3 linked regions of the Macaca mulatta genome follow. The protein of the gene in region 1 purifies or fractionates together with the protein of each later gene. This does not show direct contact. Links are inferred from orthologs where the notes say so. Each region holds a gene or a part of one and is shown on either strand. Other genes may lie near its edges.

Region 1 (4,285 bases):
GCTTCCACAGTAGCAGCCCAACTGAGGGCTTTCTCCATTCCTAAGGTTTTAATGTATTAAAATTAATAAATCAGAAAAGGCCGAGCGCAGTGGCTCACACCTGTAATCCCAGCACTTTGGGAGGCTGAGGCGGGTGGATAACCTGAGGTCAGGAGTTCCAGACCAGCCTGGCCAACATGGTGAAACCCCATCTCTACTAAAAATATAAAAATTAGCTGGGCGTGGTGGCAGGCGCCTGTAATCCCAGCTCTTCAGGAGGCTGAGGCAGGAGAATCACTTGAACTGGGAGGCGGAGGTTGCAGTGAGCCGAGATCGTGCCGCTGCACTCCAGCTTGAGTGACAGAGCAAGACTCTGCCTCAAAAAAATAATAAAACCAGAAAAAATTACACACGAACCTTGGTGACTTTTCCATAATTATGACATAATTTCCCTATTTAATAACTGCATATGAGATCATAAAAATACATTGTAGTAGAACTGATTGTACTTTATACAAACAATTCCTTGCAGTTTTTACAAAAATAATGTAGTTTTTTAAAGTAAAACAAAGTGAGTGGAACACCAAATTTTGACTCTGGAACAACTATTGAAATTGGTCATTAGTTTTATGATGAATAATACAGAATTTTTTTTTTCCCATTAGGTATCAGCATTATTTTGGGAGTGGCTGAGGGTGAGTTCTTCATCCATGATGCTGAAATTCAGAAGTCAGCACTTCAGATTATCATCAATTGTGTGTGTGGCCCAGATAACCGCATATCCAGTATTGGTAAATTTATCTCTGGTACTCCTCGGAGAAAGCTGCCTCAGAACCCCAAAAGCAGTGAGCACACCCTGGCCAAGATGTGGAATGTGGTTCAGTCCAACAACGGCATCAAGGTGCTCCTGTCCTTACTGTCCATTAAGATGCCCATCACAGATGCAGACCAGATCCGGGCACTGGCCTGCAAGGCCCTGGTGGGCCTGTCTCGCAGTAGCACTGTCCGGCAGATCATCAGTAAACTGCCCCTTTTCAGCAGCTGCCAGATCCAGCAGCTGATGAAGGAGCCTGTGCTGCAGGACAAGCGCAGTGACCATGTCAAGTTCTGCAAGTATGCTGCTGAACTCATTGAACGGGTGTCAGGAAAACCACTTCTCATTGGCACTGATGTTTCCCTAGCACGACTGCAGAAAGCAGATGTTGTTGCCCAGTCAAGGATCTCCTTCCCTGAGAAAGAGCTGCTTTTGTTGATACGAAACCATCTTATTTCTAAAGGGCTTGGAGAAACAGCAACCGTGCTGACAAAAGAGGCCGACCTGCCCATGACTGCTGCCTCCCATTCTTCTGCCTTTACCCCAGTCACTGCTGCTGCTTCTCCTGTCTCTCTACCCCGAACCCCTCGTATCGCTAATGGCATTGCAACTCGACTGGGCAGCCATGCTGCCGTGGGTGCCTCTGCCCCTTCTGCCCCCACTGCCCATCCTCAGCCACGGCCTCCCCAGGGTCCACTAGCTCTGCCCGGCCCATCTTATGCTGGCAACTCCCCTTTGATTGGTAGGATCAGTTTTATCAGAGAGAGGCCGTCACCCTGTAATGGCAGGAAAATCAGAGTGTTGCGGCAGAAGTCGGACCATGGCGCCTACAGCCAAAGCCCAGCCATAAAAAAGCAGCTGGACAGACATCTTCCTTCCCCACCTACGCTGGACAGTATAATCACAGAGTATCTTAGAGAACAACATGCTCGCTGCAAGAATCCAGTTGCCACTTGCCCACCTTTCTCCCTCTTTACTCCTCACCAATGTCCTGAGCCAAAACAGAGGCGGCAAGCGCCAATAAACTTTACCTCAAGGCTAAACCGCAGGGCATCATTTCCAAAGTATGGAGGGGTGGATGGCGGATGCTTTGATAGGCACCTTATCTTTAGCAGGTAAGAAGAAGGCCCCTTCTTACTCTCTGGGAATTGGAACGATTCTTTTATTTAAATCAAATTGGGCAGTATCAGCATAGTTGGCTTGAAATACCACTGATTGTCACTTTGTGTAATACTTGAACAATGTAATTGTATCACCTTTTGTCAACCATGGGCTCCTTGTGTGATTGTTGGCAGTATATTGATATAATCCTTTGTGTTCTCATCTCAACTAGTATGTTTTCTAGAACCCACACCCCCTCATTACTGTCCATAAGGAGGCTCCCAAACTTGTGCTGTTGCAAGTGGCTTCCTGTTCTGATTCTTGACAAATCTTACATAAAGGTTATGGGATCACAGGTTTTAAACATGGGAATTTTTTTTTTTGTTTGTTTGAGATGGAGTGTCTCTGTCGCCTAGGCTGGAGTACAGTGGTGCAATCTTGGCTCATTGCAACCTCTGCCTCCCAGGTTCAAGTGATTCTCCTGCCTCAGCCTCCTAAGTAGCTGGGATTACAGGCAGGCGCCACCACATCTAGCTAATTTTTGCATTTTTAGTAGAGATGGGGTTTTACCATTTTGACCAGGCTGGTCTTGAATTCCTGACCTCAACTGATCCCCCCACCTGTGCTAGGATTACAGTTGTGAGCCATTGCGTCTGGCCTAAACATGGGAATTTTTGTTATTTAAATTTGTAAGTGGAAATATTTTTCTTATTTAAAATAAAAAGCACTGAAGGTCACTGTGATTTTGGAAGAACCCATTTGAAACATTAATGTTCTGTGCTTTTTCTTCTGTCCTAGCAGTTTGCTTTTTCTGAGTCCCTGCACATTCTTTGCCTCTGATTCTCTCCTTTTTTTTGTGCTTAGATTCCGTCCTATTTCAGTGTTCCGGGAAGCCAATGAAGATGAGAGTGGCTTCACCTGCTGTGCATTCTCAGCTCGGGAGCGGTTCCTGATGCTTGGCACCTGCACAGGGCAGCTGAAGCTCTATAATGTGTTTAGTGGACAGGAGGAGGCCAGCTATAACTGTCACAACTCAGCCATCACACATCTTGAACCTTCCAGGGTAAGGGTTCCTTCCTAGGATGCTGTCAGTCATTCTTCCAAGATGAATTAGTGAACTAGAGTAAAGGAGGCTTACCCTTTATTGAGCTCTCTCTTTTAAATGAGTTCTCAACTGGAAAGTCTGGTTGAGGTTAACTCATATTTCAGATGGAGACTGAGGAATATGGCAAAGTTATTAGGAAGAAAGGAACTATCTTTGACATCGTCTCATTTTTCCCACCTCCCTTTTATCTGTTCTATTTTTGTGGCTAGTTCAGTAGGATTTAATACTCTCCTAAGTTTAGTTATTTTCTAGGACACTATAGGTATATGTATTCAAATCATAGTGGCTTCTGACCATTTCTTGGTTTCTGTGGGTTATAAAATTTTCTCTTTAATTCAACAACATTTTTATGCATATATTTAAAAATGCTAATGGCAGGTAGTGACATCTGCATGTATGTAAATGCACGGTTACCCACCTTGTGCCTTCTTTTAGGATGGGTCCTTGCTGCTGACATCTGCTACTTGGAGCCAGCCTTTGTCTGCACTTTGGGGAATGAAATCAGTATTTGATATGAAGTATGTATCTGCTTTTGGAACCTAGTCTGTGTTTTATTTACCTAGTTTGTTTAGACCCCCTTTCATTTGGTTTTTAGACGAAGCTTTTGGGGAAAGAGGATGCTGTCAGTTATTGTTAACTTCTCTCTTCCTCATCTAAGACTCATGTTTAATAAGACTTTATCTTTCTTAATTCCTAGATATTTTTATGAGGTATATACATTCTCATTATGCAGCAGACCCTGACCCAGAATCTATGTATTTTCCCGTGTTCACATAGGACATTGCCGTCTTTGCTGTGTCTCCTCTCCTCTCCTCCCCTCCCCTCCCCTCCCCTCCCCTCCCCTCCTCTCCTCTCCCCTCCTCTCCCCTCCTCTCTTTCCTCCTCTCCTCTCCTTTTCTCTCTCCTCTCGTCTCCTTTCCTTTTCTTTTTTTCCTTTTTTTTTTGTGAGACGGAGTCTCACTCTGTCACCCAGGCTGGAGTGCAGTGGCCTGATCTCAGCTCACTGCAAGCTCCGCCTCCTGGGTTCACATCATTCTCCTGCCTTAGCCTCCTGAGCAGCTGGGACTACAGGCGCCAGCCACCACGCCTGGCTAATTTTTTGTATTTTTAGTAGAGACAGCGTTTCACTATGCTAGCCAGGATGGTCTCGATTTCCTGACCTCGTTGATCTGCCCACCTCGGCCTCCCAAAGTGCTGGGATTACAGGCATGAGCCACTGTGCCCGGCTTTTTCTTTTCTTTCCTTCTTTCGACAGGGTCTCACTCTGTCACTTAGGTTGGAGTGCA
Region 2 (4,285 bases), on another chromosome or scaffold:
TGGGTCCCAGAACTGCTGATTGCAAACCTTTTATTAACTTAGAATATCTTAACAATTTCCATTTAAGATCTAACCCTCATAAATGATCTGTAACTGAAATGTAGTGTTTATTCTCTCTCTTTTAGTACCAGTGGATAACTTCTCCATCAGTGAAGGAACCATCCAAAACTGCTAAACAGAAAAAGAGAACTATAATTCTAGGAAGTGGTCACAAAGGAAAAGCTACTATTAGAATTGGTAACCTTTTTGGTCTTGGCTTTTTAATGCTACTAGTGTTCTAGTGTGTTAAAATCAAAATCTCTTCTCATTTATGATATTGACGGTAACAACCAATTTTGACTCTGTGCAGATTATTAGGACTATAATTATTCTGATTATGAGAATTTATGGAATGTAGAAATAGTAAATGAATCATTAGGAAAGGGATGCTAGTGCTTCCATTTTAAAAATTACCCTTATTTGTTTTTCATACAACATTGATGATTTTAGATATGTTTTCTGATTGATGATTACTTCTGATACTTTGCAGTTGAAATTTGGGATGCACTTTGATGACAGTTTTAGCAGCAGTGCGTTTGTATGATTTTGTTGTTGTTGTTAATGAAAAATTATCCTTTCATACTATAGAAAACAAAATCTCTTCCCAGTTCCCTTTTTTCCCTTTGTTTCCTCCTCCTTCCTTGCAAATTCTTACCCAAAGTTGTTGAATCAGGTAGCACCTTGCTTCTTTCAATGATGAAAAAACCTTAAATTGTATGTAATCCTTATAAAACAATACTGCAGGTAAGTTTATTACCCAGAGATGGAACATTTTAGACAAACATTCCATAAATGTTTGCTATTTATAGTTTATTTAATCTGCCAAGTAACAGTCTAGAATTTTGAAATTGTCTATAATTTTGTGACAAAGAGTAATGAAAGAAAACTTTATAAACTCTTTATCAACTAATGACATAAATTTCACATTCTCCTGAATATATAAATTTGGTATAATCTAGTTCTACTGATATTTTCGTTTTGTTTTTAAAGAGTCTTTAACTTTTATTTTCTAGAACACATTATCTTTAGTCATAAGTAGCCTTTTTTTACTGATAAGAATGAGTGACAGTGGAATAAGTTAAGCCAAATCTAATATGAAAGTGACCTTTTCTTGTAAGTAACTTTGAATTTTGAAACAGTAAAACCATGAAGACTAATACAGAGGAAACAAAATAATTTTTTTATGTTTATAATCTGCCAGTTTCCCAGAAAAAGGTTTGTGGTGACTTTAGTTACATACCCTGTACATTACGATCACCAAACAATTAATACCAGATAATCTTTTATTTGGATGCTACTTGAAATTTTTAAAAGCTATCACTTGACAATATCACTGAACTGTATGCTTAAAAATGGCTAAGATATAAAACAATTTAACATAAAATATAAAACATTGGAAATACTATAATTTTAGTAGCTAGTGGTATATAATTGGACATCATTGAATGAGAATTCAAAAAATCTTTTTTCTTAGCATGATTAAAGAAATTGGAAATGTAACTGAAGTTTACAAGCTCACTGAGCTATTTTAAGAGTAACTTTATTTCTTGGGCTTTTTTTGTATTTGCCTCAGTTATTTGGAGACACAGAGGTAAGCCAAATCAGTGTCTGGCTGTATATTTAATAGGTGTCAGTGAGTATAGGGGTTATATAATTTATGTAAATTATGTTACATTCATATTGCAATTACGTGTGCAGACAGAAGATAGGAAACTTCCACTATAATTCTTTTCATCATCTAACAAGATAAGTAAATTAGTTTGGTTTTAACTAAAATTTCTGTTTGTGGCTGGGCACGGTGGCTCACGCCTGTAATCCCAGCACTTTAGGAGGCCGAGGCGGGTGGATTGCCTAAACTCAGGAGTTGGAGACCAGCCTGGGCAACTTCACTAAAATACAAAAAATTAGCTGAGTGTGGCGGTGTGCACCTGTAATCCCAGCTTCTCGGGAGGCTGAGGCAGAAGAACTGCTTGAACCTGGGAGGTGGAGGTTGCAGTGAGCCAAGATTGTGCCACTACACTCTAGCCTGGGCGACAGAGTGAGACTCCTCCAAAAAAAAAAAATTATATTTGCATTACTTTCTACACACACCACAAACAATACACAGGAACTTTTTTTTGGGATAATTATATTAATAACAGCATACAATGAACTGAGCTCCTATATATTTTAAGAGGTATATAAATTTGTCCAGAGAAATGGCACAACATGATGTGGTGATTATCAATAAGCTACACTATGGGAAATATTTGTCCTGTATTACCACATACACGTTCTTGTAGATGCTGTCCTAAAGCTGCTAAAGTAGATCTTACATAGTAAAATAGATTGGAAGGATAAATATAACCATTTTAATAAACTTGTATTATTTGTTCTCAGCGATATCAGAAACATATATTTAAATGTGAATTTTAATATATAATTTGTTTTAAATAAAATATTAATAGGTCTAGCTTTTGCTACCAAATGTTTCATAAAAAGATACTTGACTCTTTAATACTGAAATGTAGGATAAGACTTTATGCTTCATTCTTTTATCCAATAGGTTTCATGTGTTTGTTTTGTATTCTATAAAAGCAAATGAACACTGAAGGTGGACAGACATACAGGCGGCAACATTGACTCACCTACTACCCAGCTACCTTCAGTCTTACAACTTGGATAGTTTTTACATTATAAAATTAGTCCAGCTACCTTCACTCTTATAACTTGGATAATTTTTCCATGATAAAATTAATCTCACATTGAAATTTTGGTCCAATTCAGAAGGTTCTGTTTGGTAGGAGTCATGGGTATATCTATGTTCTGTCCTTGAGATTCAGGAATGCCAAAAATATTCTGAGATTTAATAACAATATTTCTGCATAATGCATAATGAAATGTATCACATATAATCTTTCATTCTTTGGGTTACATGTTTTATTTACTTTTTCATGCTCTGCATGTCTCATATATTAAAGTTATATTTTAGTTAAAGTGATAACTTGTTACTCTAGACAACTTATATTTTTAATTTTTATATATTTATTACATTTTTAACTTATATTTAAATATATTAAAATATATTTATTCTTATATTTATTAGTGGCCTATGTAAAAAGATACTTACAAATTGATCCTGATTTAATGGCCTTGGTGTCATTGTCAGGTGCCCATTGGTATTCTTTTAAGAGTATGCACATGTGCTAATTAATCTGTAGACCTTTAGTGCATCTTAATTCTTTCTTTTTAACACTTTCTCAAGTAGGATTGGCTACAAAGAAACCTGTAAGTAGTGGCAGAAAACACTCCCTTGGTAAAGAATATGCGCCTGCACCTCTACCACCTGGTGTGTCTGGTTTCTTGCCATGGCGTACTGCAGAACGTGCAAAAAGGCACAGGTAGGGTATTTTTATTTTCTATCTTTTAGGATAAAAATGGGATTCAAAATTCTTTATTTTGGAGCTTCTATTATGTGAGAGTTCTCTGCTTATGTCTATAGGGTAAAAATGACTCATGTGGCTTCTGCCTCATGAATCCTTTAAGGAAGAAAAACAAAAAATAATCTTAAGTAGGGTTTCAAGTTATTAAGTGTCACAGCAAGCTGTATCCTTGTGGGAGTCCAGAGGAAACTGAAATTATCTCCAGTTGTGCAGGTGAGGAAAGGTTTCATTTAAAGCATGTGCAGTTAAACCAAGTCCTATAGGACAGAAGTAGGAATTTGGATATTTAAGATTGGGGAAAGGGCATTGTAAAGCATAGGAGAGTGTTGATTCGACTTAATCTAACTTAGCCAACTGGCCTAACTCATTTTAGTGAATCATATTTAGTGAATCAAACCAGATATAACTAGTTTTAGCCAGTTACCTAGAGGGTAGCTATTCATAGTAATTTTTGTCAGAAGAATGTTTTTAAAATGTTGTACTATAATTTTATGCTTAATAAATGAATTAGATTACTATAAATTGTTTTCAAATGACTTTTAGTATTCAAGAAATTGGAGATTAACAATTGCTTAAGAAGACAGAGAACTGATTTTAAATAGGACTGGAGATAGGTGCTATGTGAAATATCTGTTCAGTTGCTCAGATTAAATTGAATATGTATAATCTTTATTAGGCAACTGATGACTATACTTATTTTACAACTGGTAATGTGAATTATTATTGCATAAACTGTAGTGCTGAGGCCCTGGTCTTTACACTTACATTTAATAACTGCAGTTTCATGTCTTCTTGAGATACTTACTCATTTCAAGTCCCATCTT
Region 3 (4,285 bases), on another chromosome or scaffold:
TCTGAGCTGGCAGTACCTGTTGGCCACCTATAGGTAGATGTGCTGGCCTGCAAGTTTTTTTTTTGTTTTTGCACTCTGCTGGGCAAGTAGCCAGTTCTTTCCAGTGACTGGGATCTGCTGGAGATTTATGGTGATCTGACAAAGTCTGAAAGATTCCAGAAGGTGGCAGAGTGGCATATACTCAGTAGTTCCCTTTCTCTCCGCTGGTACAAGTTTTTAGGATCTCTGCAAGTATGCTGCAGCATGTGAAATCTGAAGGCTGGGGAAAGCCAAGGAGGCAGAGAACCAGGAGGTTGCTTTCTTAGATGTCGTTGGGTCTTCTAGGTCTCATGGTTCATTTATCCACCTCTTGTTGCCCTAGCTATTAATAATTACCACTAGTCTGCATTTCCCGAGCCTAGAGGCAGCTGTTGGCTATGTGAATAATACCTGCATTTTCGCGAATGCTTGCCAGATGGTTTTTATAATGATCACATGGCCTTATCTACAGTGTATCCCCTACTCCGTGTTGCTGAAAGACCTGGAAATGCGGAATCTTCGGGAACTAGAAGACCTCATCATTGAGGCTGTCTACACTGACATCATCCAGGGCAAGCTGGACCAGCGAAACCAGCTGCTGGAAGTGGATTTCTGCATTGGCCGTGACATCCGAAAGAAGGATATCAATAATATTGTCAAGACCCTGCATGAATGGTGAGGCTGAAAGGAGGAGGGAGATACCTAGCATGTCTTTTGTGCCTCTCCTTGCAAAAATGTGATTTCCTGGTGTCAGCTGAGGGTTTGGGGTGGGCCTGTGGCTACCTGGGAGCTGGGGCTTAGTGAGCCAGAGAGTGGGGCTACATTTGTGATCACAGCTGTGCAACAACAGGAGTCATTTCAGGCCTCCTGGTGCCTTGGTTGTGAAATAGTTCTTGCCTTAAATGCAACTGGGAGCTATTTAAAAGTGGGCTATAAAACGCCCAGGGTTAGCAGGTGGAGTCTGTGTGTCCTAGCTGTGTGAGGCTAGTCCTGCCCTTTCCAAACTCACACTCAGGTTTGACCAAACTCAGGAAGGCTAGTGTTTGTAAAATTCTTTGTTTTTATTATTATTTTTTCTATCCCTGTTGAAGTTAACATGTTTATAAGATTCTTTGGATAAAAGAACTTATGTTCAAAATCAATAACATATTGGGCTAATGTTTGTGAAACACCATGAGGGACATGGAAGACAAGGAGTAGGTCATTTTAACTTGGAATACAACTCATACAAAGAATATTTGATAACTATATTCTGGTATATAAAAAGCATTGGGACATTTGCGTTTTCTCTGTTTTAATGGAATTTGATATTTACAAGAGCTGTCACACGTTCTATGAGGATTTACTGTGGAATGATTTAAATTATTTGGGGCTTATAAAGTCAGATGAACTGATTGGAGAAGTTTTAGCTCAGTTTTGAAGGAGTACCAGGGTTAGAGTATACCTGGAGGTGAGGAGAGTGTGTTCCCAGGCATGCACATGGCATGTTGGGAGCTGTGAAGCAGAGCCAGCGAGCTTCATGCACAGGTTTGGGAGAGAGAGAATCTCTGCTTATCCCCGAGGAAGCATATCCAGAGAGGAGCAGTGCCACTTTGACTCCTTGGGGCCTGATGCCCCCTGAGTTTCCCTCACTTCAGCTACTCTTACACCCCAGGACATGTGTTGCTCACTCCTCACCCCAATTTCTGTCTCAAGTGTAGCCCCAAACACCTCTGTACAACATCTGACACAAGCGGAAGTTTTCAATAGGTTACAAAACTTAGGATAAATAAGAAATAAACTTAGAAATACCCCAACACGAAAATGGTCTGGCACACGAAATCTAGTTTCTGAACCTGCCAAAAAATTGGCTGTCCTATTCTGTTTTTGACATGGCTGACACAGCTTTTTATGTCCATAGTCTGGTTTCCTGTTTTTAAGCCCCCAAAATGTTTGACATGGAGGTGCCAGACTAACTGGTTACCACAGGATGTTTACTAGTAGAGACTCTTACAACTCATGTTTAGGCGCTGGAGGTAGATTGAAACAAAATTGATAGGCTGAGGGGTACCACATATATGGCAAAATGCTCATACTGTTGGATCTTAAGTGGAGGGAATGGGGATATTCATTGTAGTCTTTCAACTTTTTCGTTTTTAAAAAAATTAATAGTGGAGAAGATAAAATAGGGTTATGGCAATTAGGAAGCAACTTAAACTTCTGAGAAAAGGAGGAAACTTCAAAACAGGATGCTTTTAGAAAATCTTTTTTTTCTGTTGAGAAAACTGTTGAGAAAAGGACTACTCAGTGCCATCTATAAAATCTATTCTACCTTTTTTTTTTTTTTTTGAGATGGCGTTTCACTCTGTCACTCAGGCCGGAGTGTGGTAGTGGTGTGGTCTTGGCTCACTGCAACCTCTGCCTCCCGGGTTCAAGCGATTTTCCCGCCTCAGCCTCCCAAGTAGCTGGGATTACAGGCGCCTGCCACCACACCTGGCTGATTTTTGTATTTTTAGTAGAGATGGGGCTTCACTGTGTTGGCCAGGCTGGTCTTGAACTCCTGACCTGGTGATCCACTCCCCCGCCTCCGCTGGCCTCCCAAAGTGCTGGGATTACAGGTGGGAGCCACTACCCCCGGCCTGTCCTACCTTCTTTAATTGTATGTGCTACACAACCATCTTCCATGAGATACACAGTTGAGAATTAAAGCTGTATTCTAAGAAACTAGCCCCAGACTACCATATTTGTCTCCTAATGTCCTGCATTATGTATTTAGAAGTACTTGTCTTTGGGCGCGTGTGAATGGGCAAGAGATGTGGCAGAGGGAGTATTAAAGGAGGTCCCTGTAAGATACTGGGGAGAGCTATTGGGGAGGAAGATTTCGGAGCCTGGAAGAGACTTCCCAGGCCATTCTGCAGCTCAGGGCTGGTGTTCTCCGTTGTAGGTGTGATGGCTGTGAAGCAGTTCTGCTGGGCATCGAGCAGCAAGTTCTGAGAGCCAACCAGTACAAAGAGAACCATAACCGAACTCAGCAGCAGGTAGAAGCAGAGGTAAGGAAGGAAAGGAACGTTTGTTTCTCTCTCCAGGGCATACCTGTTTATTCCTTTGCAGTGTTTATGTTTTTGTTTTGCGAGTCTTGTTGTAGATGAAACGAGCAGTCACCAACAAATGGGCCTGGGTTAGGTGCTGGGGTACAGGGATGAGTGTGACACGGCTCCTACTCTTGGTGTTCTCTGTTTTTTCCGATTCCTGGTCAGCATAGGGTGATCGATCAGGCTTTGAGAACAGAGAATGTTGTAGTTTCAGTACACATGTACTTTGCAGCTGTAGAGCAAAAGAAAATGAGTTTGGGGCTGGATCTTAAAAATGGATAGAAGGATGGTGATAAGTTACCAGGTAGAGTGGAGGGAGGGGTACAGCTGGGCAGGGGCATGTGGGGCTTCAAGGCCCTGGGAATGTTCTGCTTCTTAAGTTGCGTGGTGGGCACCTAGTTTCATTTTATTCTTTTTGTCTGAACTGTACATATATATTATAAATGTGTAAAATGCGTGACATATTTCATATGGAAAGAAGAAAGGGATAAAATTTGGCAGATGAGCTGCAAGTGAAGTTAAAAGGATGTAAGTGTGGTTTTATGACACCTGGCTGTTGAGGAAACTTTTAGCTTCTTGGACAGATGTAGGCCCCAGCCTTTGCGTTATGGGCATTTGTGTACGTGTAACCTGACACATGAAGTGACCTCACTTCAGAATTTATTTGGAGCCCTGAAGATCAGAAGCACTGATTTTCCGTAGCATTGGAAGTTCTTTTCTAGGGTGGATGGGGTTTGAAGTATTAATGATGCTTAATGAATTTTGAAAATCAGGTGTCTAAGAGTATGGCAGAGTGGGACCCGAAATTGCAGCTAAGAAGCATAAGAGATGAGTAGATGTGCCTTTCAAAGGGGGATTTGTGAAATTTGGAGTGATTCCCTGTACTGTTATATGCACTTCTTGAAAATAAAACCTGTATCCTATTTGTAAGGCGAGCTTCTGGTCCCATGCCTAACCCATAGTAGGTACTCAGATGTTCAACTGACTATTTCTGGCACACCATGAAAGTGTGTCAGTGGACTGCTGCACTCTGCTTTTCATGAACTTGAGCTAATTTTTTTGAATACACACACACACCACCCTATATACGTATACTCTGTGGATGTTCAATTCATAGACCATGTTTAATCCTACTGGCCAAGGAAGTATGAGGCTGGGTGTAGTAACTCACACCTGTAATCCCAACACTTTGAGAG

The links. The genes of interacting proteins can lie anywhere in the genome.
Region 2: the proteins of DCAF1 (region 1) and CEP78 purify together in Homo sapiens (affinity purification with western blotting; 3 studies listed by BioGRID, with this or other methods). This does not show direct contact. The link is inferred for Macaca mulatta from reciprocal best matches to the Homo sapiens genes DCAF1 and CEP78.
Region 3: the proteins of DCAF1 (region 1) and COPS7B purify together in Homo sapiens (affinity purification with mass spectrometry; 3 studies listed by BioGRID, with this or other methods). This does not show direct contact. The link is inferred for Macaca mulatta from reciprocal best matches to the Homo sapiens genes DCAF1 and COPS7B.

Annotation. Positions count from the first base shown.
Region 1 is NC_133407.1:114,893,667-114,897,951, reverse strand, and holds part of DCAF1 (DDB1- and CUL4-associated factor 1), read left to right. Parts: intron 1-644; coding exon 645-1,908; intron 1,909-2,758; coding exon 2,759-2,957; intron 2,958-3,434; coding exon 3,435-3,517; intron 3,518-4,285. UniProt on the Homo sapiens protein: Acts both as a substrate recognition component of E3 ubiquitin-protein ligase complexes and as an atypical serine/threonine-protein kinase, playing key roles in various processes such as cell cycle, telomerase regulation and histone modification.
Region 2 is NC_133420.1:109,198,648-109,202,932, forward strand, and holds part of CEP78 (centrosomal protein of 78 kDa), read left to right. Parts: intron 1-125; coding exon 126-237; intron 238-3,283; coding exon 3,284-3,419; intron 3,420-4,285. UniProt on the Homo sapiens protein: Centriole wall protein that localizes to mature centrioles and regulates centriole and cilia biogenesis. Involved in centrosome duplication: required for efficient PLK4 centrosomal localization and PLK4-induced overduplication of centrioles.
Region 3 is NC_133417.1:137,063,441-137,067,725, forward strand, and holds part of COPS7B (COP9 signalosome complex subunit 7b), read left to right. Parts: intron 1-490; coding exon 491-693; intron 694-2,941; coding exon 2,942-3,047; intron 3,048-4,285. UniProt on the Homo sapiens protein: Component of the COP9 signalosome complex (CSN), a complex involved in various cellular and developmental processes.